Mytilus edulis: one gene and its partner. The protein of the gene in region 1 interacts with the protein of each later gene in a pairwise test. Links are inferred from orthologs where the notes say so. Each region holds a gene or a part of one and is shown on either strand. Other genes may lie near its edges. The genes, in order: neogenin-like and E3 ubiquitin-protein ligase TRIM9-like.

What was found.
Region 2: the proteins of neogenin-like (region 1) and E3 ubiquitin-protein ligase TRIM9-like interact in a two-hybrid assay, tested with the Caenorhabditis elegans proteins (2 studies listed by BioGRID). The link is inferred for Mytilus edulis from reciprocal best matches to the Caenorhabditis elegans genes unc-40 and madd-2.

The regions. Positions count from the first base shown.
Region 1 is NC_092354.1:43,715,456-43,733,234, forward strand, and holds the start of neogenin-like, read right to left. Parts: upstream 9,468-17,779; 5' UTR 9,226-9,467; intron 1-9,225.
Region 2 is NC_092346.1:44,157,177-44,174,858, reverse strand, and holds the start of E3 ubiquitin-protein ligase TRIM9-like, read right to left. Parts: upstream 7,000-17,682; 5' UTR 6,925-6,999; coding exon 6,148-6,924; intron 1-6,147. Other genes in the region: L-2-hydroxyglutarate dehydrogenase, mitochondrial-like, read left to right, coding at 7,000-7,154, 9,175-9,302, 9,672-9,823, 10,528-10,659, 13,943-14,143, 14,793-14,954, 15,576-15,733, 16,150-16,281.

The DNA of each region.
Region 1 (17,779 bases):
TCACAAATTGTAAAAGTAAATCATTGTCCTTCAAAGTACCAGCTGTCTTCAACACAGAGCCTTTGCTCACACCAAACAGCTAGCTACAATGTATAAAGAAAGGGCCCCAAAAATGACTAGTGTAAAACCATTTAATTGGGAAAATCAATGGTATAATCTATATAAAAATCGAGAAACAAAAAACACTTATGAACCACACCAACAAAAGACAACTACTGAACATCAAATTCCTTATGCCTACATTTTCATGGAAGTTGACCCTTGACAATTTTTATTTTCTGCTGTGCCTTTTATTTTTTTATGAAAAGATTACCGGTACGTCATTCATTGTAAATCAAGCAACATTTACAAGATTTTATAGGCTTGATTTATTCACCATATATTTATAGAAATTTTTTGGAACAAACAAATGTTAGGGGGAACAACATATTTTGCAAGAGGTAGTTGTACAGTCCAGACCTCTTAAATCATTTCAGAGATTCAAAGGATAAAAGTCTATAGCATTTACTTTTCAATAATAAAATGCAACAAACTACGTGTATAATAAAAGTCAAGTCTTGCATTTTGCGCTAGTAATAAATTGTCTAAAGCGTTAGTTGTAACAAGCAGTTATTCCTGGACTTAAATATCATGATAATCATGATAAACTAATTATTCTCACAAACATGTCTGTTGTTGATCAACACCAATAAGAAATCCTCTAAAAAATTAAAACAGAAAATGAATTCATAACAAATTTTGAAGAAATCCAGCTTTTAAAGCAATAAATAAAATTCTCACCACTTCAGAGGAGCAGACCAAGTAAATATCACCTACTTGAGGAAGATGAATACCAGCACACTTCTAAGATAAACAAAGCCTGGCATATTCTAAATGATCCTGGTCTTTGAACTAAGAGTACTTACTGATAATTAGTAAATAAATTTGACTTTTATTACTTTGATGTGTTCCTCCCCATGATAAAGGAAGTAAAACTCATCAAGAAAGGGAGATAAGCAGGGAATGTGTATTCCTTTTGAAAAATAACTAAATATAACTCTACTTTTATCTAATTAAGTTGTTTTGCATCACATTTATATCTGTATGAATTTCCTTCCATTCAAATTTACAACGTACTTTCATAATCATGTAAGTGTACATGATAATTGAGGGAGGGGTGAGTGACTGGAGGTGTCCTGATCCCGAAATCCTTAGGGCTTAAAAACAAGGAATCCCAAGGCCAAGGTCCCAAATTTAAAGAAATTTAAACCCAACATCCTGAAATTTGAAAAAAGAATTCCCAGATCCTGAAAGGATCAATTCTGAAATCCCAAGCTTAAAACACCCAATCCCAGGGTTCGGATAAAGGTCCTACCCACCCCCATAATATGATCTGGATGTCTAAGATTATAATTAACTGCATTTATTTTTATAAACTGAAAAGGTTTTAAAAAGTGTAATTTTAGGTAGAGGTGTGCCAATGAAAGGTTATAAATTTTAAGATAATTTAATTTCACTGCATAGCAAAAGTTAATTTTACTTAGAAACAAGAAAATTGTGGTCAAATCCAGTCTTTTAAACTTTTTCATCTCACTGTACATTATACAAAATTTCTTTTCCAATACAAAATTTTATAATAAGTTTAAAACCACAAATCCTATTTCACACGTAAGTATGCAATCTACAGATATTTACTTATCAATCCTTTATTTTGCAGTAAAAGGAATTATCAGCTATAGTGACTTCTACCAAAATTAGTCCAAAACCTTTAGGGTTAAAACTGCACACGTAATCCACAGCCACGGCTATTATAACTTGATTATATACTCTCCTGCAGACAAGTTATATTTTATTACAAAGAGTTCTGAAATAATCAATCCAAAACTGTCATTGCCATTCTACGTGTATTGTTTACACACAATTAATGTTACAATTTCTCCTTTATTGGATTTTGTTTAAGCTTGCATTTAATTTTCTATTTTACATGTTTACGTTTAATTCCCAATGATCAGGTCATTAAGGCCTCCAGTTATTTTTTTATCCATCTGATTCCCTTATGAACATGAACATGTATATGTATTTAATCTGTTGCAACTTGCAGGGTTATGTTAGATCAGTCTTTATTCATATAATGCTTCCATCATGTCCATTTTTCAAGTTCTCGCACAGTCACTCAGGTTCTCTGAATTGCAAATTAAGGGTTTAAGAAATCAGCTGGGCATTCAGGGGGGGGGGGGGGTATCAAGCCATTTTCAAAAAGGGGGGTTCCAAACTTAAGCATAAAGGGGGAGGTCCAACTATATGTCCTTATTCAAATGCATTGATCGTCCAAAAAAAAATGGGGGGTTCCAACCCTGAGAACCACCCCTTTGGATCAGCCCCTGGCTTTTCATTCTATTAAGACAAATTCTTAACTGGACTGGTCATTTACTCTTATGATTTGGACAAAGTTAAAAATTATACTGGTCTTTTGGTCAAGTACATGTAATTAATGCATTGTCACTTAATTGGACCAAACATATTTTTTCTGGACGTGGACCAATGTCTGGCAACATTGGGAATGACAGTCCTCATGTTAAAGCAAAAACCAAGTTTATATAAATATATAATTAAAATACTTTTATACTTTTATACATGAAGACACATAAAAATGTGTTCACCCTAATATAAACATCTAGTACCACTTATTATCGATCTGAATGTACCGTTATTAAAGAAAATAGAATTTGTAAAAAAAAATATTAAAACAAAAAAAATCACCTGCCAAATTGACCAAGTCTATTGATGCATGCCACACGGGTTTTACATGTAAATGTTTCTGGTCCCATAAGTGAAAAATCTTTTTATAGGGTTGCTTTAATTTTCATAATCCATATTACAACGACTGACTCACAAAAACACATTAGGTTAGTCATTCAATTATGAATTTTTTATAAGACCAACAAATTCGAAATTAAGCCAAAAATGCCTTCAGGCAATAAAATGTGTAATATACAAATTTAATAATCTGTTTACACTTTGTCACATTCTTTTCACTGACTAATTGAACAGATTTACATGTAAATGGTCCAATAAATAAGCTATTTCTTTAATATCGAACTTGTTAGGGTCAACATCTTACTTTAAATATGCAGAACAACATCTTTGTTCCACCTTAGACTTTGATGAGATATCTTTATAATAGAGGGCCCTCATGGGGTTTTTGATTATGTGATTACTTGGCCGTTTTTTTAATGATTATTTGATTATTAAGCCAAATATTTCATGATTATTTGATTACCTAGGACTGTATTTTTAGTTTATGATAATTTGATTACTAAAGATAAGCAAATATTTAATGATTATGTGATTATATTGGCAAAAAAATGGTGATTATGTGATTACTAGGACCCCCCCATGAGGGGCCTCATAATATATTCCAGTCAGACCTAAAATCATTAAGTCATCTAACATATCATTGCATGTAATTGATACATGTAAATTTGTTAAAGAAATTGACATTCTAATTTGAATGGCAATGCATGTCAGGATACATCTCTGGTATAATTTGCTTCAAGGATTCTTATTTTTGGAATTTTTAATTCAACATTTTCAAAACCCATTACATATGTTTGATTAAGAAAATAAATTCAAATTTCAAAGATAACAATGTACACAAGAGTGACAATGTGCATTTGAATCAACAGAAAAAAATACCCCATGCCTTTTTAATTTTCAAAATTTCAAACTGATATATATATATTATATATATTTACATGTGACCAGTGGCAGATGTAGAAATTTTCATAAGTGGGGGCAGGTCCACTGGCTGCCTCAGAAGGGGCCCGCTCCTGTAACACCTCAGTGATTCGCTAAAAAAAAAAATCTGAAAAGGGGGGGGGGGGACGACAAACAGAGATAAACATGAACTTTCAACGTATATATACACTTAGACCGAATAATGTGTCTCTTGTGTGGGTACATTTGTCATTTCATATTTTCTTTTCATCATTTCGCTATTTAATTTTTCAATTTAATTTTTTTTCACACCGTGTGACACAAAAAAATAATTTAAATAGCCAAATGATGAAAATAAAATATGAAATGACAAATGTTCCCACACAAGAGACAGATTATTTGGTCTAATATACACTGAGCTATGGTGGATTATACTAACAGGAATTTTAGGAGGCCCTGTAAATGTATAATGTAATTTTAGGAGGCCCTGTAAATGTACAATGTAATACACACAGAGATAATTTACTGTACTCTTTACACTGCCAAATGCAGCCTCTTGTAACCACAAGGCTGTTTGTATAGACAGCAATCTGAAACATTAACAGGTTCACTTCTGTTGTACTACCTGAACTAAGTTGTAAAACATCCCAATAAATATAATTACTCCATGTAAATTACTAAAACAGACAAGGGTAATTGTAATATGCCCAAAACTCCTAAAAATAGACACAAAATCTGCTTCACTGATCTCTATCAATAAACTGTTTGATTGCATTGTCTTGTATGCTGTTAATTAAAACATTTAAAACATCAAAAAGCTAAATGGTAAAAGATCAAAAGGCACTGTAAGAATTGCAACAAAAGTTGAAAAGAACAACAGAATATTGACCAGACAGAATATCATTTAAAGTCTGAATGGCAACAAGCTATCTAAAAGCTAGAGTTCTGCATCAATAGTAAAAATAAAAGAAATCTTTACAATGTTTCAAACGTTACAGTCCAGCTACAATGTAGCTAGCTATTGTTTCTTCAATTTTCACCTGAAACGGTCTTTGAAAACACCTTTAAACTAAATTAATCATAACTTAACAATTTAATACAAATTAATCAAATTAATATATGAATTGCAGATATAATCAAAGTTGCTTTTACCAGGCTTGTTAAAACATTCTAGACTGAAGAACAAAGAGTGCATGTAGACAACATGTGTATTTGTATTATGGCACCAAACAGTCTTAAATTTTTAGCACCTCATCTATTTGTATTATGGCACCGAACAGTCTTAAATTTCTAGCACCCCATCTATTTCTTCAATCTAATAATAATTAAAGGTCTCTCAAACTATATATTACATCACATTTAATGCCTGGATTGACACAGTCAGATCATTACCATAAACCAATTAGTGTAATTACAGTAATGACAAACACCCTACAGGAGAAACTTGCAGGGAATCACTATAAACCCAATCTAAAGATCAATGAGTTTTATATCCCTTATCATGTAAATATTGACACAAGACAATTGACTTGTATTTCTAAATATTGACATTTCTGCCTGCTTATTATACAATAATTCTGTAATTTATTGGTCTGTGGAAAGATAGACCTTGTTCAAGTGCAATTTATTTGAAAATTGATTGTGGTCCGGTTTTAAACATATTTTACTTCCTGTTGCCAATTTCAGGAATTTTTAAAGCTTCAGATTCACTTGTTCTTTTGCACATGAATTTTACATGTATATAAAGGAGCAACCATTCAACTTAAAGGGGGTTATGGTTTTTAATCCGAGTCAGAAAATCTTTTAGGGTCAATTTTTCAAAATTAAAGGAGACCTTAAAATTAGTCTACAGTCAGACTACATACATTGTACATGTACAGTCCAACCTTTATATGGTACTATCAATTAATTAATTATTGTGAGGTTTTTATTATTGTGAAAATGCGACAGAGTTGCAAACGCAATAATTTAATCTCGCATTTTGAAATATTCTATATGAATTAAACAGCATTTTTCTCAAAACAGTAAAAGTAAAAATTAAAATCGCATTTTAGGTTAAAATGGCAAAATCACATTAATAAATGCATGCAATAATTTCTGAATTTACAGTAAATATCATAAAACACCAGCATGACCAGTAATATAAACAGCAACATTATGTACATTAACAAATTTTAATTAGGAAAACACAAAGTATAAATCAAGGTAAGGTCAGTGGGGCCATAATAAATAATAGGTTTGTTTGCCCAAACGCTACCTTCCCAGAAAAAAGCTGCCTACTCAAATTCTTTTATTGTCCTGATTTGAAGAAGGTTTTTTTTAATCAAATAGGCATGAAGACTAGTTAATAAACATCTGATACTTCAATTTCTTTTTAAAAAAATTGCCTACCTACCTACCCACTGTCTCAACCTTTGGGTAGGGTTTAGGCAAACCAAAATATTTTTAAGTGTGGCCTGGCGGATCCAGGGGCCAGGAGGAGGGTTCTAGGGGTTGGAACCCCCCACTTCTTTTTTGGACGATCAATGCATTTGAATGGGGACATATAGTTGGAACCCCCCTTTTTAAAATGGCTGGATCGGCCCCTGACGGTAGTATCACTGCCAATGTCAGAGACGACTACTCGCCAGACAGATGATAGCCAAAATACAACATGTGGGTTCCCAAACAACTTTAACAATGGGCAAAGCTCATTCTGCATGTGGTGCATAAAATACAATTCTGATTCACTTAAAATTAAAGTCTTTTTTCCCCAATCACAAATGGATGGAATCACAGTAAATGGAAGTAATTCAAATGATTCCCTGTGTTTCTCTCCGACTTCCTAAAACATGTTACTGTTTAAAGGTTAAAAACTTGTCCACCCCACCACTGGTTACTAAACTTTCGCTGTTTCCTTTTCAATACAACCATCTTATACTTTTAACTACATTTATACCACTTTATTTACAATAATCTTTAAGTGAGAAATACAAGATGTACTTCTTATAAAACTGAATCAATTAAAATTTGATTAGTCTCTTAGGCACCAACTGCAAAATCGTCTTTTATGAAAGCTTGATTATCTATCAATTATTCATATTGCACAAACATGGAATTACGCTATAGAATCTCCTTACTATTAAGGCATGTTAAAATGACATTCTTTCCAATAAGACTTGCCTTGCATTGAAGTACAAAATAATCATGTCTCTTGGGAGAATGTTAAATACGGTTTTTCTTGTATACTAAATTACATTCAACAGATCTAATATAAGAGGTTCTCATTTGGGAGAATTTTTTGTTTATTTTAGAGGCTCAGATTTGAAGTTATTACATACATGTATACAAATACAATATATACATTGTACATGTAACAGGCTGTTATTTGAACTTGGAATTATTTTTAATTATGGAATTTGCATAATTTCTTGTGTTTAAAATTTTTCATAAATTCCATGTTATATTTGGCATTATGATCTTTCGACAGTAAATAACACTTTCCACACAATGTATTTTGGTTAGATAGTGTTGTGCGCAGCACAGTACATTCTATTGAAAAATACTATTTTCTTTGTAATAGAAAGTGTTATGCGCATGACAGAATATTTCAGTACAGAATAAACGTGGAATTTATTGAAAATTTCAATAACAAAGAAATCAAGCAAATTCCATAATTAAAAATAATTACAAGTCCAAATAATAGTCTGTTATGTATATAAACTAAAAATTTTAATTAGTTATAATTTCATCAAAAATTGAACTTGAGCTGTAACTTGTCATGATAAAAACAATATACCAAATTTCAAATCAATATCTTTAAGCATAAAGAAAGAAAGTCCAGAAAACTGATTTGAAAACAGACTGACATACAGACAGTGTAAACCTAAAGTCCCCTTCGACTTGTCAGTAGGGGGGTCGGGACTAATAACTATCATATCAATGCAATGCCTAATTCACATTTAAATATGCAGACACAACCAGAGCTTTAACATGTTTAAGCAGGAAGCAGCATGGTATGGTGCTATTTGAATAGATGTTATATACATATTTTAACATGTTCTTTAAAACTCATGCTACATTTGTACAGGTACATAACTTAAAATCAAGCATATAATGCTTCATATTTTTTTTACATGTACTCAGAATTCTTACTAAGACAAGTCCATGAATTCTGGACTCTGGAAGATCTATCTGGCCTTTTTTTTTTTAAATGTACATCAGAATTGAAAAGCACAATTTATAAACATTTTTTAAACAAAAGTTTACCAATAACTAAAACTTGATATCATCCTTGCTCTATATTATACATGTATAGCTATTTTATCATGGTGACTACTCCTAAAATAATAAATTATGTAACACTTAAATTTCATTGTCTCACTGATAAAATTGCCATGGCCAATAATGAAGAGTCACTGGACTTGCCTTCGAAATTTCTTGCATACTTCCATTCCCATGATGCTGCTTTAAAACAGTGGGAGAAAATGTTCCCTGGTACATTTTTGTCGTGCATTACATGGTACATGTACTTCAATCTATTTTATGTTAGCAATGATTACTAGATTGATTGGTTGATTGTTAGGTTACTTATAACATACAGTGGCAAATATTTTAGGAGGACAATAAAAGTTTTGGCATTAGTACATGTATAGCAAAAAGAAATAAACTAGCCAGAGGTGACGCCACTGTTGAATAGGACAGGAACATATATATGCATCTGTTTTCATTTTCATAGTGGTTTATATCTATTTGTCATGAGTGGGACAAGTTGGCTTACCTGATAATTATTTCTGCGGGATTTGAACCCTCTACAAAAGTGCGTTGACTTGGAAAACAAGAGTGGGGTGATTATATATAATTATTTTAAAAGTGGAGTGAGTTGGTGAAAAAGTGGGACCATTTGTCTGTGGGGTGATTTGCCATGGATTCATCATTTTTCACAAGTGGGGCGATTTGGTGTAGGGCAATTTGTCCTGCTTCCACTTGGGCCTACATGTACATAAGGGAGACAGGAAGATACCCAGGATGATATGGGGGTATCGGGATAATAACTTGGGCGACCCGATATTTTTTTATCTTTGAAGCCTTACATCCCGGGAAAGCATCAAAGCAAAGCAAAAATTAAAATAGCTCTCCAAGACGTTATAATTATTTGGACTAGGAAAAGGACATGTTACTGTATTTATAAATCTGTATTTCCCACGCTTACAAAATGTACATGGACCTCTTTTTTAGAGAGATTTTAGCTGTCACATTTTATCAACTATTAAACATGTACACCTGGATGTCTACTAAAATAAAATGATTTGTTTGCCTTTTAAAGTAGCAATTTACGGTGATTTATAGCACTACCTTGCCGTCATCAAGTTTGAAATTAGTTTTTCGAGACAGACTTTCAAACTTCTTTTCAAAATTATAATTAACAGACAACTCCTCATGCTAACGTACTATTTTCAATCTGGTTAGTTTAAAAAAATTATCATACTGTTAAATTTACAGATATGTATGTCTTCTTTAAGAAATCTTAATGTGAAACTTAAAACAAACCTTTCAAATCTCTTTCTGAAGTTCGACAACACAATAACAAAAAGTTTAACCTAATCACACAGCGTATCCAAACTTGTAGAGCAAATTCTTTGCTTCTTCTCTGATAAAGTTATGAAATATGATTCTTAAACACAATAAAGCTCCAATTTACGACTCTTAATGAACTAAAAACAGTTAAAATTCCAATGAGAAGCCTTTCTTTACCCGTACGCCATGTTGGTTTCTTTCACAATGAGAACGATTGGGTGAAAGGTGAAGTCCGCCATATAAGGAACTCATTTGCATATATACAGATGTCGCTTTTTCGCGCACTTGTTTAAAAACTCGCAAGAAAACATGAGGATTTGTATAGTAATACTATATATACAAATCCTTGATGTCATTTATGGCAAAACAGTAAATATGCAATCCTTTGATATTTATTTTTTTTATTATTTTAAATGCATAATAAGAGTTGATATGATCTATAATTCCTCTCTTTTTAGGCTCTGACGGAGATGTAATACAATATTATGATGTTACGAGGGTCTTGAATGATCACATCCTTGGATGGTCAAACAAGTTAATGAAAAGACAAAAAACTGAAAGCCCCCCTTTTAAAGACAAAAATATAGCAGAGAATTATAGGTGTAAAATTTGAGGAATAAATCTGGAAAATAAATACTTAAATTTATATATATAAGTTGCTATTGGCTTTCAACTTGTTCTCTCAGAGCTGTTCTTCGTTGTTTTTTTGTTGTTGTTGTCGTTGTTTGTTTTACTTGCTTTGTTACGATTCGATAGTCGATACCTTTCTAACTGATTTTTTTTATGATGTTTAGGCCCCAGGGGCGGATGCAGGAATTTTCGAAAGGGGGGTGCTAACCCAGGGCAAAAGGGGGGGGTGCAAAACATATGTCCCGATACAAATGCATTGATCGGCAAAAATAAAGGGGGGGTGCGCACCCCCGGAACCAATGGATCCGCCACTGGGCCCTGCAAATATATGCACGTTTAACCCCGCTACGTCAGGGCCTATTATGAATTTAGTGTTTATCCTTTTATCATGGCGTCTCCCCGAGCTAAGCAATCAATTTACCATATATACCAGTATGTCTATATATGTTCCTGCACATTCGAATTATACATTGTATTCTTGTATACTGTATATTGGTTGTTTTAACCTAATCAGTATTACTGTATTTGTCATTAACCACTGGGATAGCTTTGCGATATTGGATCACTCTTTTTAGTCTTGACCATGCAGTGGACTAATGAAGTATACCTTTTATAAAATGCCACAACTACCCATAGTACATTATTCAATAGCATTGTTATTGAAGTTTTCCACTTTTGAACCCATGATGCATTTTGTCTGTATCAGATAGGTATGTAGACAACTCTTACTCCAGTGTTGTCAAACATGGTTCGATTTCCATTATATAACCTTAGTAAAAGTGAACATATATATAAAGTAAATACCAATCATCCAAAAACATCTAAGCTTGGTTGACTGATGGACAAGCTTTCATCAGTATCAACAATGTCCACAAACAAGATAAGATATTATAGCGTTTTACGAAATATCTATACTACTAAAATAACGAGGTCCAATTTGTTAGCTATATAGCATGACGTAAAAAGACGAATTAAAGAATTCAACTGTATATATAACTACATGGTTTAAGACATGGGTCCTTAAATCTGTCTGAGACGATGTCGCGGGTACCACCAAAAACATTGAAGCCTTGTTGGCTGATGGACAAGCTTATACATAAGTATCAACAAAGTGCAAACTGATAGTTATATCCGTAATAAGGTTAGTAGATATAAGAAGGTGTGGTTTGAGTGCCAATGAGAATGAGGCAGATCTCCATCCAATTCACAATTTATAAAAGTGAACCATTATATGTCAAAGTATATATACGGTCTTCAAAACGGATCCTTAAGTCACACCGAACAGCCCCAACAATGACTTAGTGGTTACAAACTAAAACTGAGGGAGACACATCAAATATAGAACTACGGCACAACAGAAACACAACACCAAAATTTAACACACACAGAAACGAACTTTTATATAACAATGGCCATGCTTGTTCCTGACTTGGTACAGGACATTTTAAGAAAATGGTGGGTTGAACTTGGTTTTGTGGATAGCCACCCCCACCCCCCGTTTTAATGGCAATGTTAAATATAACATTAAAATTACAACATTATTACATGACAGGACTACAATAAAAATGAATCGGAGAACATATAGGACAGAGAAACACGAATAATATATGAGGAGACCATGCAAACGGGAAAACCAACGGCCTTATCTATATAAAAAAATAGAGAAACATGCATGTACGAACCACGTCAACAATGGTCGGCCGCCAACAATATGCAACTACTAAACATGGAGTGTATTAGAGAGCAGCGAGAGCAGTAGTCATTATAAAAGATAATTTTACAATTTTGCATTTAATGGAGAGAATCAGTAATTTCAACACTGCATGCTGGTAGGAACATACAACACGTGACATGGAATTTTGAACTACCAACCTGCTTATGCTTTGTTTGTGTTTTGTTGTTGTTGTCAATATCTTACCACGTCTAGTCTGTGTTTTTTTTAAATTTTTTTTTTTCTGCTTTATATCGATTTGATGAGATAAATCTTTTTAACTGGTTTGTATATAGTTTGTTCTTCGTGATTTTGTACTGTTACACCAATGCCCAAGGTTTAGAGAGGGTTGGCGTTTTCAAACAACAACTACCCATAAGATAAAGTAGATTATTGAATAACAGTGTTTTCCAATTTTTAACCTATAGTGCATTTTGTCTGTATCGGATCGAGATGTAGACATCTCGTACATCAGTGTTGTCAAATAAGGTTCGATTTCCTATAACCTTAGTAAAAGTAAACAAATAAAGTAAATACTAATCATCAAAAACATCAGAGCTTAGTTGTCTGATGGACAAGCTTACATAAGTATCAACCTCTGTACAAGGAAGATAAGATATAATAGCTATTTCTGAAATATCTATACTACTATAAAATAACGAGGTCCAATTTGTTAGCCGGCATGACCTAAAACGATGAATCAAAGATTTCAACTTTTATATAATAGTATAGGACATAGCAGGAACATATATATTGACATACAGTTTCCAGGACATAGATGTACACGAAATCAGTCACAGACCATCGATGTCGCGGGTATCACCAAAAAACATCGCGGCTGTATTAACTGATGGACAAGCTTACATATATAAGTACCAACCAAGTGCAAAAGGAAGATAAGATATTATAGTAACTTATTTCCGAAATAAGCTTATTGAAGAAAAAGATTTCCTAGAGTTTGATTGTATCAGTAAGATGTGATAAAGAGAGAGCAGTAATCACTGTAAAAGTTAATTGATACAATTTAGCATTTTGTTAAAAGAACAATTATTTTCAACACTGCATGCAAGTATAGGAACATGCGACACGTGACATGGAATTTATAACTAACATGCTGCTTATTCTTTGTTTGTATTTTTTGTCAATAATATACCCAAACCAGGTCTGTGTTTTTGTTAGATGTTTTTTTCCTGCTTTGTATCGATTTGATGAGTTAAGCACTTAATTTTATTGAATTGTATAGTTTGTTCTTATGTTGATCGCTAATGCTACACCACTGTGCCAGGTTTGGAGAGGATTGGCGCTTTTAAACATGTTTAACCTCGACGCATTCGATGTGCATGTCCAAAGTAAGGAGTCTGTAGTTCAGTAGTTGATGTTGGCTCTTGTCTGCCATATTTAGTTTTCGTAAAATGTTTTTTTTTATAAATAAGACCGTTACTTTTCTAGTTTAAATTGTTTTATATTTTTCATGTCAGGGCCTTTCAAAAACGACTATTTGGTATATGTATTTTACTCATTGTTGAAGGCCGTACGATTGCTTATAATTGCTTACATCCACTTTATTAAACTGTGTTGAATAGTTGTTTTCATTGGCAACACTATCAACCAAATGTCCTTTTTTTATATCAATGTGTAAACCCTCCAAAGAATACGTGTGTTTCTCACTTAGCAGTTACTGTTTCACTATATTGATTAAAATTGAGAATGGAAATGGGGAATGTGCCAAAGAGACAACAACCCGACCATAGAAAAAAAAAAACAACAGAAGGTCACCAACAGGTCTTCAATGTAGCGAGAAATTCCCGCACCCGGAGGAGTCCTTCAACTGGCCCCTCAACAAATATATACTAGTTCAGTGATAATGAACGCCATACTAATTTCCAAATTGTACACAAGAAACTAAAATTAAAATAATACAAGACTAACAAAGGCCAGAGGCTCCTGACTTGGGACAGGCGCAAAAATGCGGCGGGGTTAAACATGTTTGTGAGATCTCAACCCTCCCCCTATACCTCTAGCCAATGTAGAAAAGTAAACGCATAACAATACGTACATTAAAATTCCGTTCAAGAGAAGTCCGAGTCTGATGTCAGAAGATGTAACCAAAGAAAATAAACAAAATGACAATAATACATAAATAACAACAGACTACTAGCATATAGAATACTTGCAACTCCCCTCTGGAAAACACAATACAAAATGCATCACCCATGCAGATATCTAAGGATTCGAATATTCACAAATCCCTTCTGGAAAACACAATACACAATGCATCACCCCATGCACGTATCTTTAGATTATAATACTTGCACATCTTCCCTGGAAAACACAATACCCAATGCATCCTCCGTGCACGTATATGTGTTGCATTCAAATTAAAGCTTAAAGACATCAAGTCTACTAAACATATCGTAAAGATGGTGTGTCTGATTGGTTATATTTCATTAAACAGTTAACGAGATGAATTGTTGACATAGCTAACGTATAATCAAGTAATACTGCGTGTCAAATTAGCCGAATATATTGATAACCTTTTACTCGAACGTGCTAATGCGCGTGCCGTTCTCTCATCATTGCTTTATCTCCAGGCTGATCGACTCCAGTAAGCAGAATAAAAATTAGTTTTGATTTCAATTTCAATCTCAGGATAGTGATAATGATGTGAATCATCACTCTGTAAACCTGCTACGAAGATGCAGTTTTAGTTTATTTGATAATTACCGCTGTGAAATGATAATCAACATTGAGTGGCTTTAACAATATATGAAAATATGTACTTAATAAATGTGTACTGTGGGGTCGCAAGTTTAATATACCATTGGACACTCTATCAAGCTTTGAAAAGTGAACTGACGGAGGGGTAAAAGTTCGATATCTCTCTCCAATATTTTAACACTTATAATACTAAAGAACTGAACACTGTTATACCTATACTTAGGTGGGTTTACGGTGACATGTAGTTGTTAATTTCTGTGTCATTCTGGTCTCTTGTGGAGAGTTGTCTCATTGGCAATCATACCACATCTTCTTTTTTATATTTACGTATATATGTCCTAACATAAAACTTACGTATTTATTTTAATTACTTAAAGTTAAATTGTTTGCTGAATTGTTTTTTGAGGGGTTAAAATTTACCGTATATATAAAAAAAAAACGATAAAGTTTTTGTATTTATAGAGAGACAAAGGGAGGGGTATTTAAACACGTAAAACTGCGTTTACCCCCCTTTTTACCACCACCACCACCACCACATGGTGTGCCTTTAACTACATTTGCATCATGTTCTGATCGTAATGGTATGTATACGTTTGTATGCGAATATAAAAATAGGAAAATTTGGTATGTTTGTCAATGACACAATTTTCCACAAGGGAACAACTGAATGACACAGAAGTTAACAACTATATATATATATATATAGGTCACCGTACGGTCTTCATCCATACCAAATAAGTTTGTACGGACCGGGAATCTGATATCGATCTATCGTATCATGTATATCAGTAAAACGAAATCAGAGATCTATATTGTGATAACCAACCTGGTTCGGACGGGTGTTGGTTTTGCATTGTGTGGTCTTTTATATCATTATTTAAAACTTTTGGTTATTCCTGTTATCCTGATTACGTATAATAAGAATATTAAGAGAGGGCACTGCACTAGAGGAACCATTTAAGAGTTTCATATTACCAGACCCATGGACATAATCTAAGCAATTTCAAACTAAGCACCTTATGCATGGATGAGTGTGACATTAAGCTATGTTTGTTTCGGTTGCCCACATTTTTGACAATATAACGGAACTATATATAACAAAACCTTTAAACCGATTTATTAGAAAGGGATATAGTTACGATACGGTTGCCATGTCATTAAAGATTGCATATTTTGGCTGTAATATTGATTCACTTATAGGGTCTTTGCATCAGAATTAAACACATTAACTCTAAAACCAGTTGTTGGCATGATTCTGACATCGGATTCCTACTTCTTTAAAACGATTTTTACTGTGCGTATTGTTGTGCGTTTTTTTTCTTTCTTTTCTACATAGGCTAGAGGTTTAAAGGGGAGGTTTGAGATCTAAAAAATCATGTTAAATTCCGCCGCAATTTTGCGCCTGCCTCAAGTGAGAAAGATTATGTCTTCATCATATGAATATCAGACACAATCCCTCCTGTTAGGGGTTTAGTATTATACCATCATGAAATATATGATCACATGTAGGCGCTTGGGTACATGATGTAGATATAACTTTTTTTGTTGTTGAATAAAATATTCAATTTTCTATATTTATACTACATATCTATCACTTCTGTGCATGTCTCACCTAGTTTCGAGTGATTTAATCGACTCAGAGAAAAATCCCAATTTTACTATCCATACTAAGAAAGCCAATCTCTAATGACATGACAACAGTATCGTAACTATATCCCTATAAGTCTGTTTAAAGGTTTTGTTAGCTCATATGTAGATTTTATGGATTTATTAAAGTAAAACTAGTAAATAACAATTATTAGGACTCGGAACCGCGATGGTTCTCCGAACCGCGATGGTCATGCTGAAGTGCGATGGTGCACGCTGAGGTGCGATGGTGCACGCTGAGGTGCGATGGTTTTACACGCTGAAGTGCGATGGTGGTATTGTGACGTTAACTTTGTTGATAGCTACGCTGAAGTTCGATGGGGGTTACGCTGAAGTGCGATGGTCTGTCTGTTCCATGGAGTATAACAGCAAAATAGACATGGGCTGCTGAAATTAAATACAAAAAAAAAAATGTACCATTTAACTTCCAAAAAGGGGGGGGGGGGGGGTGAATTCTTATCTAAGTAAGAAATATTTTTCACTCAAAGCGGTAACATTTTTTTTTGTTTTTTCGACGCTTTAACAAAATAATCATATTAAAATTTAACACTATTAAGTATCAGGAAAAACAGAAGTAGGGGTTCAGAAAATATATGGTGTCGAAGGGCAAAATAAAAAAGATAATGAACGTGTAGGTCTATATAATAGTACTAAGCAGGGTCCATCTCATTATATCAAATGTTATGACAAAACTTAGAAATTGCTCACAACAATTATTCATCAATTTACATATACCTGATGTCGGAAAAGTGTCCACGAAGTTAAAAAAAACACCGCCAAATACATTAATGCTTGACTAAATAATAGCGAGACTTGTTAATTATTTCACAGTTTTCAAACTTAGTTGAGAACGCTAAATTGGGAAGTACACGTATATATAGGGACCATTCATGTTATTTTGGCATGTTACAATTGACACTGTAACCAAAATAAAATAAGACTGCAGCGAATGTGTTCTTACAAGTCAGGATTTATCTTTGAAATAAAACAACATAATATCAACTTCATATGACAAAAGCATTGCTAATACATGTTCTAGCAGTTTATTATTTTTTTTTCTTTATCAAATTGTCTACATAAAATCATGTGAAGCTTACTTAAAGATAAATCAAAATTAATTTTTAGATCAAAATACTTTATTTATCGTTCGAAAAGTTTGCGGCATAATTCTGAACAATGTTAAGCCCATTTGCTGATCAAGTTCATCTTTCAGCCGCTTTGCGCCCCATGATTTGCCTCCACATGAATTGCTCATAAACCTTCATCTACAAACCTATCATCCTGCATGCGGATTCATGTTGTATTTGAAAACATCGCAATATCCAAACGTCATGTAAACCATCGCACCTCAGCGAAAGGACCATCGCACTTCGGCGTGGACCATCGCACTTCAGCGTGACCATCGCACTTCAGCGTCCCCATCGCACCTCCGAGTTCTACATGTATAGAAACGTTAGGAGCAATATGTTCAAAGGACACAAAAAGACTATAGCTTACCTGAGGAAGTTCGAACCTTAGTTCCTTATAGTAATATATGATGGCCGATTTCACTACGAATATATATGCTAAGCTTTTATTCCAGTTCTGGTTTGTATATGCAAAGAATGACAACTCGTGTTTTCCTACAAAGTGTGCTGTATTTTAGAGGACCTGGGGCCTGGTTTTCGAAAGTATCTTATGACTAAGACATGTCTTATGATGGTCTTAGGACATGTCATAGTCGTAAGATATGTTTTCGAAAGTGTCCTAAGTTACGATTTGTCATAAATTTTGTCGTAAACTTAAGACCTCTCGCGACATGACTTATGATAGTCTTATGAT
Region 2 (17,682 bases), on another chromosome or scaffold:
CATTGTATTAAGAAGTTTGCAATATTCTTATACATGTATAACTTATTGTCTTATTCAAATTTTAACAGAAGACTTACAAAGTTACAATTGATGGAAAATATTGGAACTAATATGTAGAGATGCAAGACAAAAATCATCAGGGGCAATCAAATACTTATTGATATATTTTTCCTACACCTACAATATGCAGCTGACCAGCTGTCCATCTTGATAAGTAATTATTGGCTATTTCAGATGATATTGTAAATCTAGAAATTCCCTCAACACCTTGCAATTTACATCACCAAAACACTTGTCAGTCAAACTCATCATAGAAATATATACATTGTAAATAATAATTAATTATTACCATGGCCAGTATCATTTACCTACATGGGTCTGATTAATAAACCTAGTGAAAGCAAAAAAGCATAGAAAAAATAAGATTTAAAAAAATAAAATAAAAGTTTTAGAGAAACATCAGAAAAGACTAAAAATTTAAAAGTATAAATTACTATTCCAAATACATGAAATATAAGTCAAATGATAAAGCAATTTTTTAGGTTGATTCTGCACTTTAAAAGATCAAAGCAATTACATAAACTAAATGTTCACCCTAAGATCATGAAGATAGGAGAGACATTATATGGGTTTTCTGTCAAAAAAGCAAATCAGAAAATGACTTTGATAACAGAATAAAATTGAGAGTAATAACATGCAAGAATCATCAATTTGATCTGGAAATTCCAAGACCAATAATGTTATAAACATTATTACCATTAGAAATTTATCATCAGCTGAATTGTATGACTGCTTCAAATATACCAGAAATGGCAAATAATTACTGAGAATATATACATTATACATCATTGACAATTATATTAAGATCTGACAGCTGAGATTTCATTATAACTCGTCTGGACTAACACATCATCTAGTATTGTTATTATGTAACGAACTTTTATGTCTTACAATAAAATATATACTACTGCCTAGAACTAGACAAAGAAAATAATGTATTGTAACCAAGAGACATTTATCAACTTCCTGTTCTGATTATGGACCACCAGTACTTCTATGACAGAACAAATGTGATGTTATATTTTCTTTACTTCTGTTCAAAGAGTATTATTTGTCTTAAAAATGAAATTAAGTGTACATGTACAAAATAAATAAATGGAGGTGAAGGTCACTGGTTGCTTCTACATGTATATTGGTATGTGATTACAATGTAGACAGCTGCTTATTTCTAACACTTTATGAAACTATTTGAGGATACATTAAAGATCACTTACATGTTTAATTTCATAATTTTGCATTTAGCAGCAAGATTCAAAATAAGTATTTTGCTTTTGGTGAGAGAAATTGACAAAGGATCAGAAAATTTCATATATAAAAAAATCTTCAAAAGGAAATCCTGTTTCAAATTCAGACTTCAACTGTAAGTGTGCAAACACAAAATGTACAACTAGACATACAAATGTAGGTGGATCCAGGGTGGAGGTGAAAAATTTGGTTAATTAAATAGGGAATCACTGAAGCATGACTGGAGTGCTCCCCCCCTTTTATCAGAGGCGGATTTAGGGGGGGCCAGAGGGCCAAGGCCCCCCTTTTTGGGAAAAATTTGGTTGCTTATATAGAGAATCACTGAAGCGTGGCAGGAGTGGGCCCCCTCTTAGGAAGTCATTGGGCCCCCACTTATGAAAATTCCTGGATCCGCCACTGTTTATGAAAAGTTCTGGATCTGCCACCTGCCACTGCCAGAGATTTAAGGATGCTACACTTTTATGTATTCAATGTGGAAAGATTGTGGCAAACTCATGTTATACAACATCAAGAAATCTTTTGAAGAAATTTAATCAAAATCCAATGTATAATATCAAGATTTTGTTTCAAGATTGTGGACAAAACACAACATACAAATGTAGTGTAAATAGCACTTAGATCAACAACTTTTATAGTACTGAATTAATACCGTTAATGATAAGAAAAAACAACTTTACATTGAATAGAAAACCTGAATGACATGAAAAAACTTTCATTTCTAACTGATATATTATACTTGTACCCTTAACATATCTGCTTATTTAACAATTTTCTTAGCGAAATTAAAACTTTCACATAGACCATGTACACCAAAACCGCTTAAAAGAGTTCAAATAAACCTCTTTCCTTTTTCTCTTTAAAATTCAAAGTAAAGTTAACTAAATAAAAGAACTGAAAGAAAATGTAATGCAATCGTAATGTTAATGAATATTACAGAAGCTAAAATACCGTACAAAATGTTTGTATACAAAAGAAAATCAGTAACAAATGAGTTATTCTAATGACTAGAATGAGTTTTTAATTCTTACATTGTCGGCAATGGTACATTTTTACATTTGAAGGTGTAAAAGAGAGTTAAGTTACAGAAGGCGTAACCTAGAATTTAAAGTCACTGCTTGTAACTAGAATTGTCCTTTGTTAAGCTTAGGTATTACGTTTACATCAGATATATAGCAGTCGCCAATTAGTCATGTTAGTTGTAAGGAAGAATGTCAAGCTTGTTAGGTGAAAATTCTGTTTCATATCAATGTACAATGTATATGATTACAAATACGACAATTTGATAGACAAGAAAATAGAAATATATATCACTTTTTCAATACTAGATCCATACATTTTTTTGTACTTCAGAGATTATATGCTGATGAAGAAGGGTGAATGGAATTGAAAGACACAGGACCGTTTAAAACAGCAACTAAACACTATAAATACATTGTATGGCTGTGCCATGCTGACCTCTTAAAACTGACCATCAACATGTACGGCGTTGTGCAATAAGGCAATTGCTACACAAAATAGTCTGACAAAGTGACCTTGACTTAAATATCACAAAGGGATATTTGCTATGAAGTCAAGAACCCTTTTTTGAGACCAAAGATGATTCGCAGCCTTTTACCAATCGTAAATTTGAAGTTACAAAAATGTACTTTGATAAGTCCTAATCAAAAGTGTCCAAGACTCATCATCAAGGAACAGAGCTTATAATGTCTTATATTGCTGTTTTTTCACCTTGAAGAAACAATTTGGTTTTTACCCTCTTATTGCTGTTCTCCATCTCCAAGTAAGAGTGAGGCTTTCAAAACAAAGCAAAAACTGACAGGGGCCTAAACTGCAATTTTGCAACAAGGCAAAGTATATTCCCCAGATGGATTAAATCTTCCCAAGGACACCTCAAATTTACGTTGTAGTATGAAAAATGCCTGCCATGCACATTCAATTCTTATCTACAATGTAACACTTTATAAAAGATAATGTGAGTGCAGCACTTTTCATTTTAGCAAATTAAAAGATAGCAAGTAATTGCCTACAGTATAACAATGTGTTTCACATTTTTAAATTATCATAAACACCACGTTATCATCTTAACTAAATTTATATTATATAAGTTTGGGAAATTAATATTTGTTCAAGAAATTAAATTCTGATAAGATTTTGATTTAAGATAGCTGTACTTGAGGTATTGAGATCATAATATCAAACCAAAATTAGTTGTCAGAAGATTTACATTCTATTTCCACTTTTATCCAAGGTTTATTAAATTTGTTTTAGGTAAAGTAATATCTTTACAAAGAGGGCATTTCCTGTTCTTTGACATTGGAGGTTTTCACAGGTGAGCTGGTTAAGTGCACAGGTGTTTTTTCTTAAAAAATGTACCTGTCTTTTTGAATTTAACAATAACGGTAAAAACCATGTCATAAATTTAGTCAATCATCTTTTTTCATATCTTTTAAAGCAGTTTTATTGTATTTTGACAAAAATCTGAACACTATATACATTTCATAAACTGCTACGTAAAAAAAAGTATTTAAACAAAACAAAAGTCAATCCTATATGACTGTTATACAATGTATAATTTGAAGCTCTTACCCTAATCTTTTAAAAAAATATATAACTTTCAAAGTTCAAATAACAATAACTAACATGACTAAACAGTTGCATTAATAATTAAACTTTAATCCAAGATATTAGAGACTTAAAAGCTTTGCAAAGATTCAAAGTCAAGAAATCTAATAAAATATCAGTAATCTCGTTAATCATCACTGAAAAAGGTGTTGATGCAGAAGCTAACTGCATTAAAGAGCTACCACCGCTATTAACAGATAACACTATGCAGAGATGATCCACTTAACCTCAAAATATCAAATATCAAATGAAACAATGTGTCACCAGCTAATAACTTATAAAAAATTCATGTGATTATGACTGCTCATTGATTCCTGATTTTCTATTTACAAATTTAAATGCAATTTTAAGCTACTATAAACAATGACTCATTGTGTACACATCCTTAAGTATTACACTAAACTTGTTTGAACATTCAAAACCCAAAACCATGTGAATCGATTTTGATTAAACATCTTAAAATTGACGAGACCTCAGTCGCCAGTGATTGTAAATGACGTTATCGTTACATCGGCTGGTGTACATCTTTTGTCACAGATTAATATTTGTGAGAAAATTGACGTTATCGTAACATTAGCTAGTGTTTGTCTTTTGTCATAGATTAATATATGTGAGAAAGTTTGCTGAAGCCCATCATTTTTCATTTTGATAGTTCAATTTCTTTCTTTGTTGTTATGGTCATCATCTACTGGGAATTTAATCTTCGCTTCACTAGTTATCATACTATCAAATTACAAATTAATTCGTCAAATTTGAATAATTTGCATATTTGCAAGATATGGGTTTAATGTGACATGTCAATAGACTCAATACGCATGTTGAATAATGGATGTAATTTATCAGATGATAATAGATAATGGTCACTGCTGGTCAGAATTTTTCAAACCCATCCAATGGACCATGACAGAAAATGTGATAAAGGAATTTTCTAATGTGGTTTACGATAATCTTCATTTTATTCTTTTCTTTATGAATTGAATTTCTTTTCAAATTGCCCTTCATGAATAAGTATTCTTTAAACTGAAGAAATAGGATAAAATTTTCCCACACAAGAAAACAAATTAAATTGAATGTTCAGTTTTACTTTTATCTTCAATTCTTAAATGGAAGTTATGAAATGTTGAAAATTCAAATTTTATCGACAGAAATGCTGTTAAAAAGCAGTAAAACCCTATAATTTTCAGTGACACCTACCAGCTTTAATATAATTACTAATAATCTTACAAAAATGCAAACTGTACATAACAGAGACAAAATCCTCGTAATGTAATGTTAATTATAGGGAAAGCTTTTGTTTTAATAGAATTTATTGTGCACATTATATATATATAGAGATGAAAATATTTATCTTAATTATCGTCAGCATTATCACAAAGTAGGCTTAATTAGGATCACATGATGCCTACTGTGTATGTTGACAGTTTGCTTATTTTAAATTAACAGATACTTGTGTCAGAATTCACAACTCATGCTGTTTCATAGCAAATAACAATTAACACTTAATTCATAAACGATTTTGCATGTATGAAATAGATTTGACATCAATGAATAATATTATGAAGAATTTATTGATTTAGAATTACATAAATTCCTGAATTCATTGCAGAGTATTCTGTTTGAGTCTTTTAATAAATTTGAAAAATTTATATAATTTTTCAGGCTTACAATGTATACAATGTATCTACAAAGAATTTTTGTGGCTTTATTAATATATTGTTCAAATAGAAATATAATTTAAACTTGAAATTTCTTTGTGTTTTTTAAAGTAACTGTGTAATCTATTGTTAAATACAAAATAACACAGTCATGTATATATATAATGTATATATATATATATATATATACATGTCTATATAAACAATGTATAATAACCCTTTATTTTTGTTAAATATTGGCTTTAAATTGGTTTAATTTTAAATCTACAACAATATATTTACATTATACATGTACCAATTATTTTCTCAATTTATTGTGTTTTTGTCATGATAACCATGTGGGACCTTTGTAAATAATACTTCTTAAAATTCTACAATGATTTATGGCAAACAATAAATTTATAAATTGTTTATCAAAAAAGAAAAGAAAATCTGTGTATCACTTCAAAAATGAAGTTGTTTACAAACAAGAAACACATGCTGGATACTTATATCTTGACATTTATGTTCTGTTAATGTGTAGTTTACATGACTTAAAGGATGTTTTTACTTATGTTTCTCTTACCTTGTGAGTTTTTGACATAACCCCAAGGGCCTGGACATCATGATCAACATGACGTCCCTCTTGTCGACAGACATAACAAACAGGCAGTTTACAAAATAAACAATACATGCTTAAATGCTCTTCTTCATGTTCTATACATTTTGCCTCACTTGCTTTATTTTTGGCCCGTAATATAGCTCTCCCTTGAATTGGTCCCACCATATTATGTTTTGCCAAAGGTCCCCTCGAAGGGTGGCAAACATCTTTACATGTATCACAATAAAATATTTCACATTGTTCACACATACTACATGCATCTTTAGCTTCAGAATTATCAGTTTGTTCACACATTTGACATTTACTTGTATGATTTTGTAATTGTTTACATTCATTGCAATATTTTTCCACAATAGCCTCAAGAATAGTATTTTTAGGTAGAGATTTATATCCACTTTCATCTAAAAATACAGGTTTTTTACATACAGGACACCTCACAATATAAGAACTTCCCTGCACTGAGGGTAAAATATTTCCACTTCCAATGTAGCTACTAGGTCTACTATTACATACAACTCCACTGTCAGTTTCACTAACTAAACTTAATTTATCATAATCTTTAAGAAGATCGGTATCCCCTAAAATTTGTAACAAAGAACTATCCTCAAATTGAGACATAAATTCCTGTGAAGACTCCTGCATATTTCCAGCACACTCTAAACAAACAGAGTGAGAACATGGGAAAAAGACGGGCTTTGAATAAAATTTTCTACACTCAGGACATTTTAGTTCCTCATCCATAATCGCACCTGTATGAAGTGCAAAGCCGTTTCAAAGGAAGCGGTTGTTATCAACTGTTGTCTCGTGGGTCACGAGATGTTGCGAGAGAAAATAACAACAACAATGGCAGCCTCCAGGATCACCAGAAAACTTTTCAATCTTTTACCAGTTTGTAAGAAAAGACAGCATGTCTCAATACAATATTTAAACCCACAGATTACTGATTTTACAAATCATCGTTTTTCATCAAGGTTTGTTCTTATTTTCAGTTGCAAATGTGATGCACATAACATGTTGGTGTGACAGAACTAAATACCAACAAAAAATGTTCATAAGTACAAGGAACCGTGTAGGACAAGAGTGTAAAGAAAGACAACCCAACTGATAAATAAGGCCTTATGTAAATGTTGCTGAATTGACCTTTCATCTTTGTTTCAGTAATTGTTTTGCAATCAAAAGAATCAGTTCAACAACAAAAATCATGATTGTTGCTCCCTAAACAACATAACAATTAAAATATGTTTTATATCAGTGAGCTGATGAAGGACAGGCATTTCCAGTGTTGGTCCAACAATAGTTATGTCTTGAAAGGCTTTTTTTTTTGTTTGGCTATGATGCCTGCAAGAGGGTCATAATGGGGGTACCTTCATGACGAATAACGGTAAAAATTCTTGCCAAATGACGTAAACTTTAATGTTTGGTGAATGACGATAAAATATACAGTTTAAGACATTAATAACAATGATAGATTTTGATGAATCACATTAATTTTTTTCCAAAAATGATGGTAAAGATAATTCACGATAAGGATATTTTGACGAATCACAATAAAATTTAAACCAATAATGGCAATTTGATGCTAACAGTAGCCGAAAATGACTGTTTGACACCTGACGTTAAAGGGCATCACTACCCTCCTGCAAGCTCCAGTCTTCCTTTTTGAAAGTGACAAGAAAAAAAAAGTAAATTTTAAGCGACAAGAAATTTGATACATATATACTATAAATTAATACAAGATTTTTTAGAAAAGTTTTTTAATTGCAGTTGATCATTAGTTGGTTTATAAAAATTCAACACAATTGGTTATAGTTTAAACTTTTATGGCACTTCAGTCCTGTAATGACTTTTTAGTGTCTTTTTTTTTAATTACACTGTTTTAACACCCCCAACCCCCTTCCTCCAAATTTTTTTTTGAATTTAAACTGAAACATTTGTGTATACCATATAGACATGATACATGTAGATGACTTTCAACTGTAAATTATGATGTAAATATTTTAGCATTTTATCCTGTTTAATAGACCGAATAATTTGTGGTATACACATATACATTGAATATAAATATGTCGACCATTTGAGTGTGAATAAATAATGATTAGATTTTTTAGATTACAATGTGATTAAAAGATAGACATTGCTGTCCAGACTTAGCTTACTAGGTTTTGCTTATAATTAAGACAATGGAGTGAAACTCTAACTAAATCAATCATGCAAGCATTTCTGACATTATTTATATTTTTCATAAACCTTTTGTATATATTTTAGATATATGAATTTATTTGATTAAATATCAACTTAAGCATTGCAAAAATAATACAAAGCAATTGTTAATACATGTGTACCTAATCTGTATTGCCCATGAAAGCCTCTCTGCCTTTTTCAATGAGATCCATTTATGGTCCATTTTATAAATATTATTGTTATTAGAAATCATGACTTTGGTGGATTTTTTACTACCTGTATTTATGCTTAGTAAATTATACATTTGTAAATGACGATGAAGTTGACTAGAACACTCAAGCATCCAATAAAAAAAAATGCTAGTAAAATCATTGCTTTCCTTTGTCTGAAAAGATTTGAGATTCAAGAATTTTTTGTTACTCTATTTTATAATTTGGCAACCAGTTCTAATCCTTTATAGCATTATATTGAATGTTAAAGTATGTTGCCCTTTAATACTATACTATAGGTGGTATTAGCTATATTCACTAATTCTTGTTGAATAATAATAACAATCTTCGATCTTAGTACAATTGTTTGAACTCTTTGAAAATCTATTATGCCAAATTAGGATTCAATCTATGATAGGTCTAAAGAAGTTAACAGACAGGAAGTCTATTATATATTTGAAGACCTTTATGCATGTTAGATAACCTCTTTGATACACTATACATTTTGTAGCTATTTAAGGCTACTTTTTTTTTTAAATAAAAATGAGAATTAAAATATCTGTAGTATTTTTGAAATGACTGTACTGTTTTATTTATTCAGTTCCACACAAGACAGTTATGACATTGTTATTGTTGGAGGTGGTATTGTTGGTATGGCAACAGCAAGAGAAATACTGGTACGTCATCCAAATTTGTCAGTTGCGGTCCTGGAAAAGGAATCCAAAATATGTAAGTTATTTACTACCTACTTTTACTGGTACCATCCTTTAAACCTTCTATATCAGATATATCCAAAAATGTCAAAGACAGGTGAAAGATACCAAAGGGATATCTAAGCTCATAAGTCAAAAACAAACTAACAATGCCATGGCAAAAAACAACAAAATAACAGTGGGAATCTCAGGTGCTCCAGAAGGGAAATTTTCTTTATCAGATATTTCAACAGTTGCTAACCTCTAGAAGTGCTTTAGTGGATCATGACCCCAAAGCGCATTCTTTTATTTGACTATTAAAGATCTTCTAACCTATCAGTGTTCTTCCTTCAATTATGAATTTACATACAGTCGAGCAATTTCATATTGTTTTGATATATTGTAGCCCCTCACCAGAGTGGACATAACAGTGGAGTGATACATGCTGGTATATACTATACACCTGGTAGTCTGAAGGCCAAGCTATGTGTTGAGGGGGTAGAACTTCTATATAAATACTGTGATGAAAATAATGTTCCATACAAGAAGTGTGGTAAGGTGGGTAACTCTTTTATATCTGCTGAACATTCAGAAATTATTGCAATTGCAAGGTTTTAATTTTGGCTTATAATGGCTTATACTGGGTGAGAATATATGTTATATCTATTGTATTTTACTCAAAGATCTGCTTTGGAGCATATGCGTTGCAGAAAAAAAATTAAAGGGTGACTTTTATAATTAGGTAAATGAAATATACAAAATTTAATGTTTTTGAAATACAAGACAGGGAATGCCCAGACTCCATCACTCAAACTCTAATTTGCAAAACTGCACATTCATCATTTACTGTGAAAGGAGAAGGCATTTACAGATATATGTTAGCTTCAAATATATAAATGACTGAGTTAAAGGATACATGAATGAAAGAACAACCTAACAACTAAAAAAATAGACAAACTTTTACCAAGGATTTGTATATTTTACTATACATATCCTTGCTTTTACCAAAATATTTTTAAATTTTGAACTTGATCAAAGTTAAATGCATTTGAGATTCTTACATTCTTAGATTCTTAACTATTGTGTCTGTATTTATATTGTATGTTTCTCTGTAAACTTGTATCTAGTTTTTAAGAGAATAAAGTATATATCTATCTATCTACATATATTATCCAAAACTAAGTGCTAAAGATAAGAATAGATGTATGAATTTTTAACTCCTACCTTAAAATGATAAATTTTGTTGTAATTTATATTATTAGCTGATTGTGGCAGTCACACCAGAAGAAATCCCAAGACTTGAGGGCTTATTGAAAAGAGGGATTGAAAATGGGGTCAAGGATTTAAAGATGGTTGAATCCCATGAAATACAAGAATATGAACCAAACAGTGTAGTGAGTATAATGATCAAATTTTTTTTGAAAGGTTAATGCAAAAGATGATGCATTTAATGTAGGGTTCCAGCAGGAGCTTGATCATTGAATACCAAGGAAACTGTGCATGCATTTACATTGTATCTTTGTTATGCCCATGATTTAATTAAATTGATCTACATGTAGTTAATACTAGCTGTAACAATATCAACTAAACTAAACACTAAGCAAATTTTAAACCTACAATTGAAAAGTAATCCACATAACATCAATTTAGAAACAAAACCATGAAACTTTAACCCCACATGTATCGCAATAATCATGATGATGCAGGGATCTCCATGGATGAAAATTGAACCATGGAGGAACTTTCACCATTACAAACCTTGTCTACGCTGTACAGTGTAGCGCGATCGGAAGTATTTTATCCCTCCATACAAGGAATGGTGAACATGCTAATTCATTGCTTATTTAAATTATATTTATTTGAATTTTCATTATAGAATTAGAAGTATCAATATTTTCATTTATTGCCGTTTTTAACCATTCAAATGCCAAGTCTTCATGGTCCCCCCTTAGTCGAGAATGACCAAAAGCTGTCATGAAGGTCCCCATGCAGATTTCTTTTATTTTTGGTAATTGTTATGGGGGTTAAAAATCATCTGATGTGGAGCTTATTTTTCGTGGACACTGTCAAATTCAGAGCCCATTACCGGTATGGCTGATTTGCAGCAATAACAAAACAATTTGTACGGGTTATGTAAAAGGTTAAAGAGATTTGTAAAGCAAACGTTGACAAATGAAAAGGTTTTTAATGACTTTATCTGGAAAAATTGATGCTGTGCAACATGCATCTTTCGAGTCTGAATAGAAACCGGAAACGCGGATGTATCAATTTGATTGTAATATACGAAATGAATTCGGAATTTAGATACAATATTTCTTTACAGGAAATATAAAAGTTTTCACATTTAAACTTTTAAAGTAATTCTAAATTATCGTTACAGCAGTACTCGAGTTATTTGCGATGAAATAATATTTACTGTTTTGCGTCTTATTTTGTACTTCTTAACCCTTAGACTGCTGCATTGATTTCTATTGTACTTTTGTGTAATGCTGAGTAAAATTTTAATCACTGATGAAATAAACATGTTCACTTACAATTGCTGTATCTTTGTAAATATTGAATATTCATCAATAAAAGTTATATAATAAAGTATTGTTAGATTCTGTATTTTTTATTTATTTTATTTTTGTGTGAGTCTCTGGTCATTTTTTACCTGTACAGGTGTGAATAGAGGAAAACAAAGGTAAACTTATGTTTTCATGTTTTATTAAGGAATCCATCAATGTAAAAGTATCCATGACTTCAGAACTGAACCAATATAGTTAAAAATCTCTTTTAAGAACTAAGTTCCATTGTGATTATCAAAAAATAAAAGTTTCTTCTCAGACCAACGGCCTTTTTTATGCAAATATTTTCCGGTATTTCCCTCCAACTTTCACTGCGCCGACTTTTACTTCCATGTACAAATATATTTATACGACAAGTTCATTGTTAAAGCTTTCATCAATATATAATCTTGACAAACTTAAAGTTCGGGTCTATTGATGTGAGTCAATATTGATTCACATTTGAAAGGCGAAATGATAAACATCGCAAATCCCGTTTCATGTCATCCATTTTGAACAAGGTCTGGGAATCCCCGTAATTCTCGCTTTAAAAGTCTCCTGTTTGCAGTTTTGATAGAATGTTTCTATTTCTGTCTATTATATCTTCGGTTCTCGTTCAAATCATTTTAATCGGCTGCCGCTGTTGAATCGTTATCATTGAAATACTTCTGAACGTGTTGGCCATTTCTCCAAATAATGTCCGCCATTTTGTCACTTTTTTCATCAAAAATTTTCACTTTCGGTTTATCGCTTATACCTCATTAAAAGTCAAGAGACATTCGAAAGAACGCAGATTTTTAACCAATCAGAATCCATACAAGTCGAAACTGCCGCAATCTCATGAATATTGACTCCGCCCATTCCATGGTAACTGTGTAAACAAACGAGTTACGGAAAACGACTATAGTCGCGAGTAGCAGTAGCGGACTGTCTTATCGGAACGACAATAGTCGCGCGTAGCAGTCTAAGGGTTAAAAAAGGGGGATGCTGATTGCGTAATTCAAAATAAAGCACGTGTTCGACTTGTTAAACTGCTTTCTTTGTAACTGGATTAATTTATTAATTTATTTATTTAATCTAAATGATCATAATCATTTGCTGAAACTTAGTTGATTACTTCGACAAATGGATCGTCTATCCTCAGATAGTATTCTCCTGTCTGGTTTGTTGATCTACCTGTACAAGCTCAGGTACAAGTAATTAGCGATCTTAATCCGGATATCCCTCAGGCGTTAGAACTGTATTGGATTATAACATAAAAAGCCTAAGGGTTATGCAATTACATGCATTTGATTATAATTGATAAAAAAATGGCGTCGGGCTACAAAAAACGATGAAGTTTTGAACGATGGCGGAAGACAATTTAACGATGGCGCAAGACAATTTAACGATGGCGCGAGTCATTTGACGATGGCGCAAGACATTTGAACGATGGCGGGGCTCCATCGTTAAACAGGCCATGGAGATCCCTGATGATGTATAAAAATTTCAACATTTGATAGATTAATGTAATTCCAAATCATTTATCAGCTAACACAAAAACTGAAAGATAACGAAATATATTCCCATAATATATATCATTACGCAGATTAAAGAAATAAAGACTGATTGCTACCAGCAGAAAGGAGAAATTTGTGCTAGAATGTTAAAAACTTGGCATTTCATAGAAAGCCCATCTTTTCAATTGAATTTGCATTTTAATATTAATGAGACGATAATTTGATTTACATTGAGAGTAATAACAGCATCCTCTTTATATTAAAGTGGTGGTAGGAGGGTTTCAGATCCTGAAATCCCAGGCTTTAAAACATGAAATACCGAGGTCCCGAATTTAAATCCCAACATCTTGAAATTCAAAAAAAATAATTCTGGATCCCGAAATCCTGAGCTTAAAAACACCACATCTCGGGAGTCCTGATAAAGGTCCTATCCCTCTCTATTAAGATTGGAGGGCTACACAAATAAACAAAGGGGAAACACCATTTTACTCAAAATTTCTTAGCTATGGTATTGTGTAATAGCCACACTCACCTGGCAATTCTAATTCTGTATAAAAAGAAATGTTTTCTATGAAATATTGGACATTGCATTAAGTATTGTTAAAACCTATTAAATGAGATATATTTTTTAGGGATTGAAAGCCATACACTCTCCTCATACAGGGATCATTGATTATGCAGAAGTAACAAGATCTTATGGTCGAACATTTGAGAAAGCTGGTGGAAAAATCTATACTAACTTCGAAGTGAAATCGTTGGATGTTACAAAGGAAAGTTCACCAGAATCATCAAGTGGCATAAAACATCCTGTTACTGTAAGGGGAGACAACCAAGTAAGTATATAAAATAGACTTCATATTTTTTTAGAATTTTTATGTTATTTCTGATTTCTTATGTTTAGTATGCAGAATGATTTGTATTAATTTTATAACTATCATTTTGATATTCACAAATAAGGAATCACCACTACAATAGTAAGAAAAGAGACTGCAGCAATTATTTCATGGACAGAACATTTTAGGACTGCAGTATACAAATGTGATCACAATAATTAACGAAAAGCCTAAATGAAATATTAAATTTAGGTAAATACATAAGAATTGTAGATTTCAGGAAAGACTTTATAAGTTTTAAGAAATGAACAGTCTTCAAGATATCATTGAGAAAAAGGCACAATTACTACCTTGTGAAAAACACTTAAAAAAAGAAACTTTTAAAATATTCTTATTCATGGGACCTAATGCACATTTTGAGTATTTTTATTAAAAACACTCGATCAAAAGATTTTCAAAATTTATCCCTGGAATAATTGAAGCATGTCTAAAAATTTGGTGTTCATACATATATTTTTGAATGATCTCTGATTTCATATGATGTAAATAGTCAAACAAAAATCTTACTGTAATATCAAAAGTGATAATTAATTTCCCTGCATCTACAGTTTTATTTTATTTAAATTACAAATTTGTATATAATTTTTAGGCTGTGCAGTGTAGATATGTGGTGACATGTGGAGGACTACATTCCGACAGACTGGCAGAGCTGTCAGGGTGTAATAGAGAACCGAGAATAGTCCCATTCAGGGGAGATTACCTTTTACTGAAACACGAAAAATGTGATCTTGTTAGAGGCAATATATATCCTGTATGTAAATTAATTCTAACATTATGAATATCTATATGTCTTAATATTATTTCAATGTTACTTTTAATTAGAAATATTGTTTTTTATGAAAATAAGTAGGAAATGCTGTTAATTAATGAATGGCTATTATTTATTTTAAATTTATTGAACCATAAAATTAATTTTTGACTCTTCACATTGAATAATCCACTAAGCAGATTATGTAAAATGTGAGTTTATTTATTAGTTATTGGTTTTCATTATAAATAAATTTCTATCAAAAATAAGGCTCAAAGAACTTTTTATATTATTTATATTAACAATAACAATGTACACACATGTTGACGTATGAATACACAACGTCAGAGTGAGTGGTCGCCATAAAAATTGACAACATTGAAAATAAAAGTAATACTTTTAACCAATCAGAAGACAGTAAATACACCAAATTTATTTATAAGAAATAAATTAGGCAAATGGAATGTCTGTTAGTCTTTGTATAAAAATGTTCTATATTCAACACTTTTAAACCCTAAAATACTACAAAACATATACATGTACATTCATTTCTAGAACAGATTTAGTAGATGATGTTTTTTGTTATTTCTTTTTATATTACTTATCAATAATCTTAATTTTTAGGTACCAGACCCCAGATTTCCTTTCCTTGGAGTCCATTATACACCTAGAATGAATGGAGATGTGTGGTTAGGTCCAAATGCTGTGTTGTCATTTAAACGAGAAGGATATAATTTAACAGATTTTAATTTGAAAGATACATTTGATGCTTTAAGTTTTAGGTAGGTATTTACAAGACAAGAAATGTTAAAAAAATATCAAATTGAAATAAGAAAACACCATTTAAACATTTAAAAAGAGACAGACAAGACAATATTTCTTGAATTGAGGAAAAAAATAATTAAAAACAAAACAAAAGTCATGATGGCAAAACATATAAAGCTTAACTATTTCCATATTAAAGATTGTATGTTTTCCAGAAAATTTTAAGTGACAATATGGGTTTGTTAAAATGACACAATCTTCCTCATTTGAAGAATTACAGAAAGACTCCTTCGTTCCAAGAAATATAATTATTTGTATTAAGTAAGTTACTTCTTTCCTTGATTGTATGTAGTAGACCTGTCATGTATTAATGAATATAATACAAAAATATTTATTAATTTTATTTTATTGTATTCATTCCATCTTATTTCAGAGGTTTGAGAAAGCTTGCATTTAAAAATTTAGCTTTCGGTCTAAAAGAAATGTATCGTGGGTTTTATATTGGTGCCACAGTGAAACAGTTACAGAGATATGTACCAGAACTTGCCAGAGAAGATGTCATCAGGTAAACATATGATTTAAAAATCTTAAAATATTATGTGAAAATATGAACCAATTGTATAATTAGTATCGGTATTCAAAGTTTCATAAAACAAGCTTTTGAAGTTGCAGCTAAGATCTAAGGTTGGAACGTGTTATTTTTGTTATGACAGTTTTGATCAGCAGACACATGCTCTTTTCCAATGGTGATGATGGAATCAATAATCTCATACTTTTATCTATTCTTCCCTTTTTATTAGCTCACCTGGCCCGAAGGGCCAAGTGAGCTTTTCTCATCACTTGGCGTCCGGCGTCCGTCGTCGTCGTCGTCGTCCGTCGTCCGTCGTCGTCCGTCGTCGTCCGTCGTCGTTAACTTTTACAAAAATCTTCTCCTCTGAAACTACTGGGCCAAATCAAACCAAACTTGGCCACAATCATAATTGGGGTATCTAGTTTAAAAAATGTGTGGCGTGACCCGGTCAACCAACCAAGATGGCCGCCACGGCTAAAAATAGAACATAGGGGTAAAATGCAGTTTTTGGCTTATAACTCAAAAACCAAAGCATTTAGAGCAAATCTGACATGGGGTAAAAATGTTTATCAGGTCAAGATCTATCTGCCCTGAAATTTTCAGATGAATCGGTCAATCGGTTGTTGGGTTGCTGCCCCTGAATTGGTAATTTTGAGGAAATTTTGCTGTTTTTGGTTATTATCTTGAATATTATTATAGATAGAGATAAATTGTAAACAGCAATAATGTTCAGCAAAGTAAGATCTACAAATAAGTCAACATGACCAAAATGGTCAGTTGACCCGTTTAGGAGTTATTGCCCTTTATAGTCAATTTTTAACCATTTTTCGTTAATTAAAGTAATCTTTTACAAAAATCTTCTCCTCTGAAACTACTGGGCCAAATTAATCCAAACTTGGCCACAATCATCTTTGGGGTATCTTGTTTAAAAAATGTGTGGCGTGACCTGGTCAACCAACCAAGATGGCCGTCACGGCTAAAAATAGAACAAAGGGGTAAAATGCAGTTTTTGGCTTATAACTCAAAAACCAAAGCATTTTGAGGAAATCTGACATGGGATAAAAATGTTTATCAGGTCAAGATCTATCTGCCCTGAAATTTTCAGATGAATCGGTCAATCGGTTGTTGGGTTGCTGCCCCTGAATTGGTAATTTTGAGGAAATTTTGCTGTTTTTGGTTATTATCTTGAATATTATTATAGATAGAGATAAACTGTAAACAGCAATAATGTTCAACAAAGTAAGATCTACAAATAAGTCAACATGACCAAAATGGTCAGTTGACCCGTTTAGGAGTTATTGCCCTTTATAGTCAATTTTTAACCATTTTTCGTAAATTAAAGTAATCTTTTACAAAAATCTTCCCCTCTGAAACTACTGGGCCAAATTAATCCAA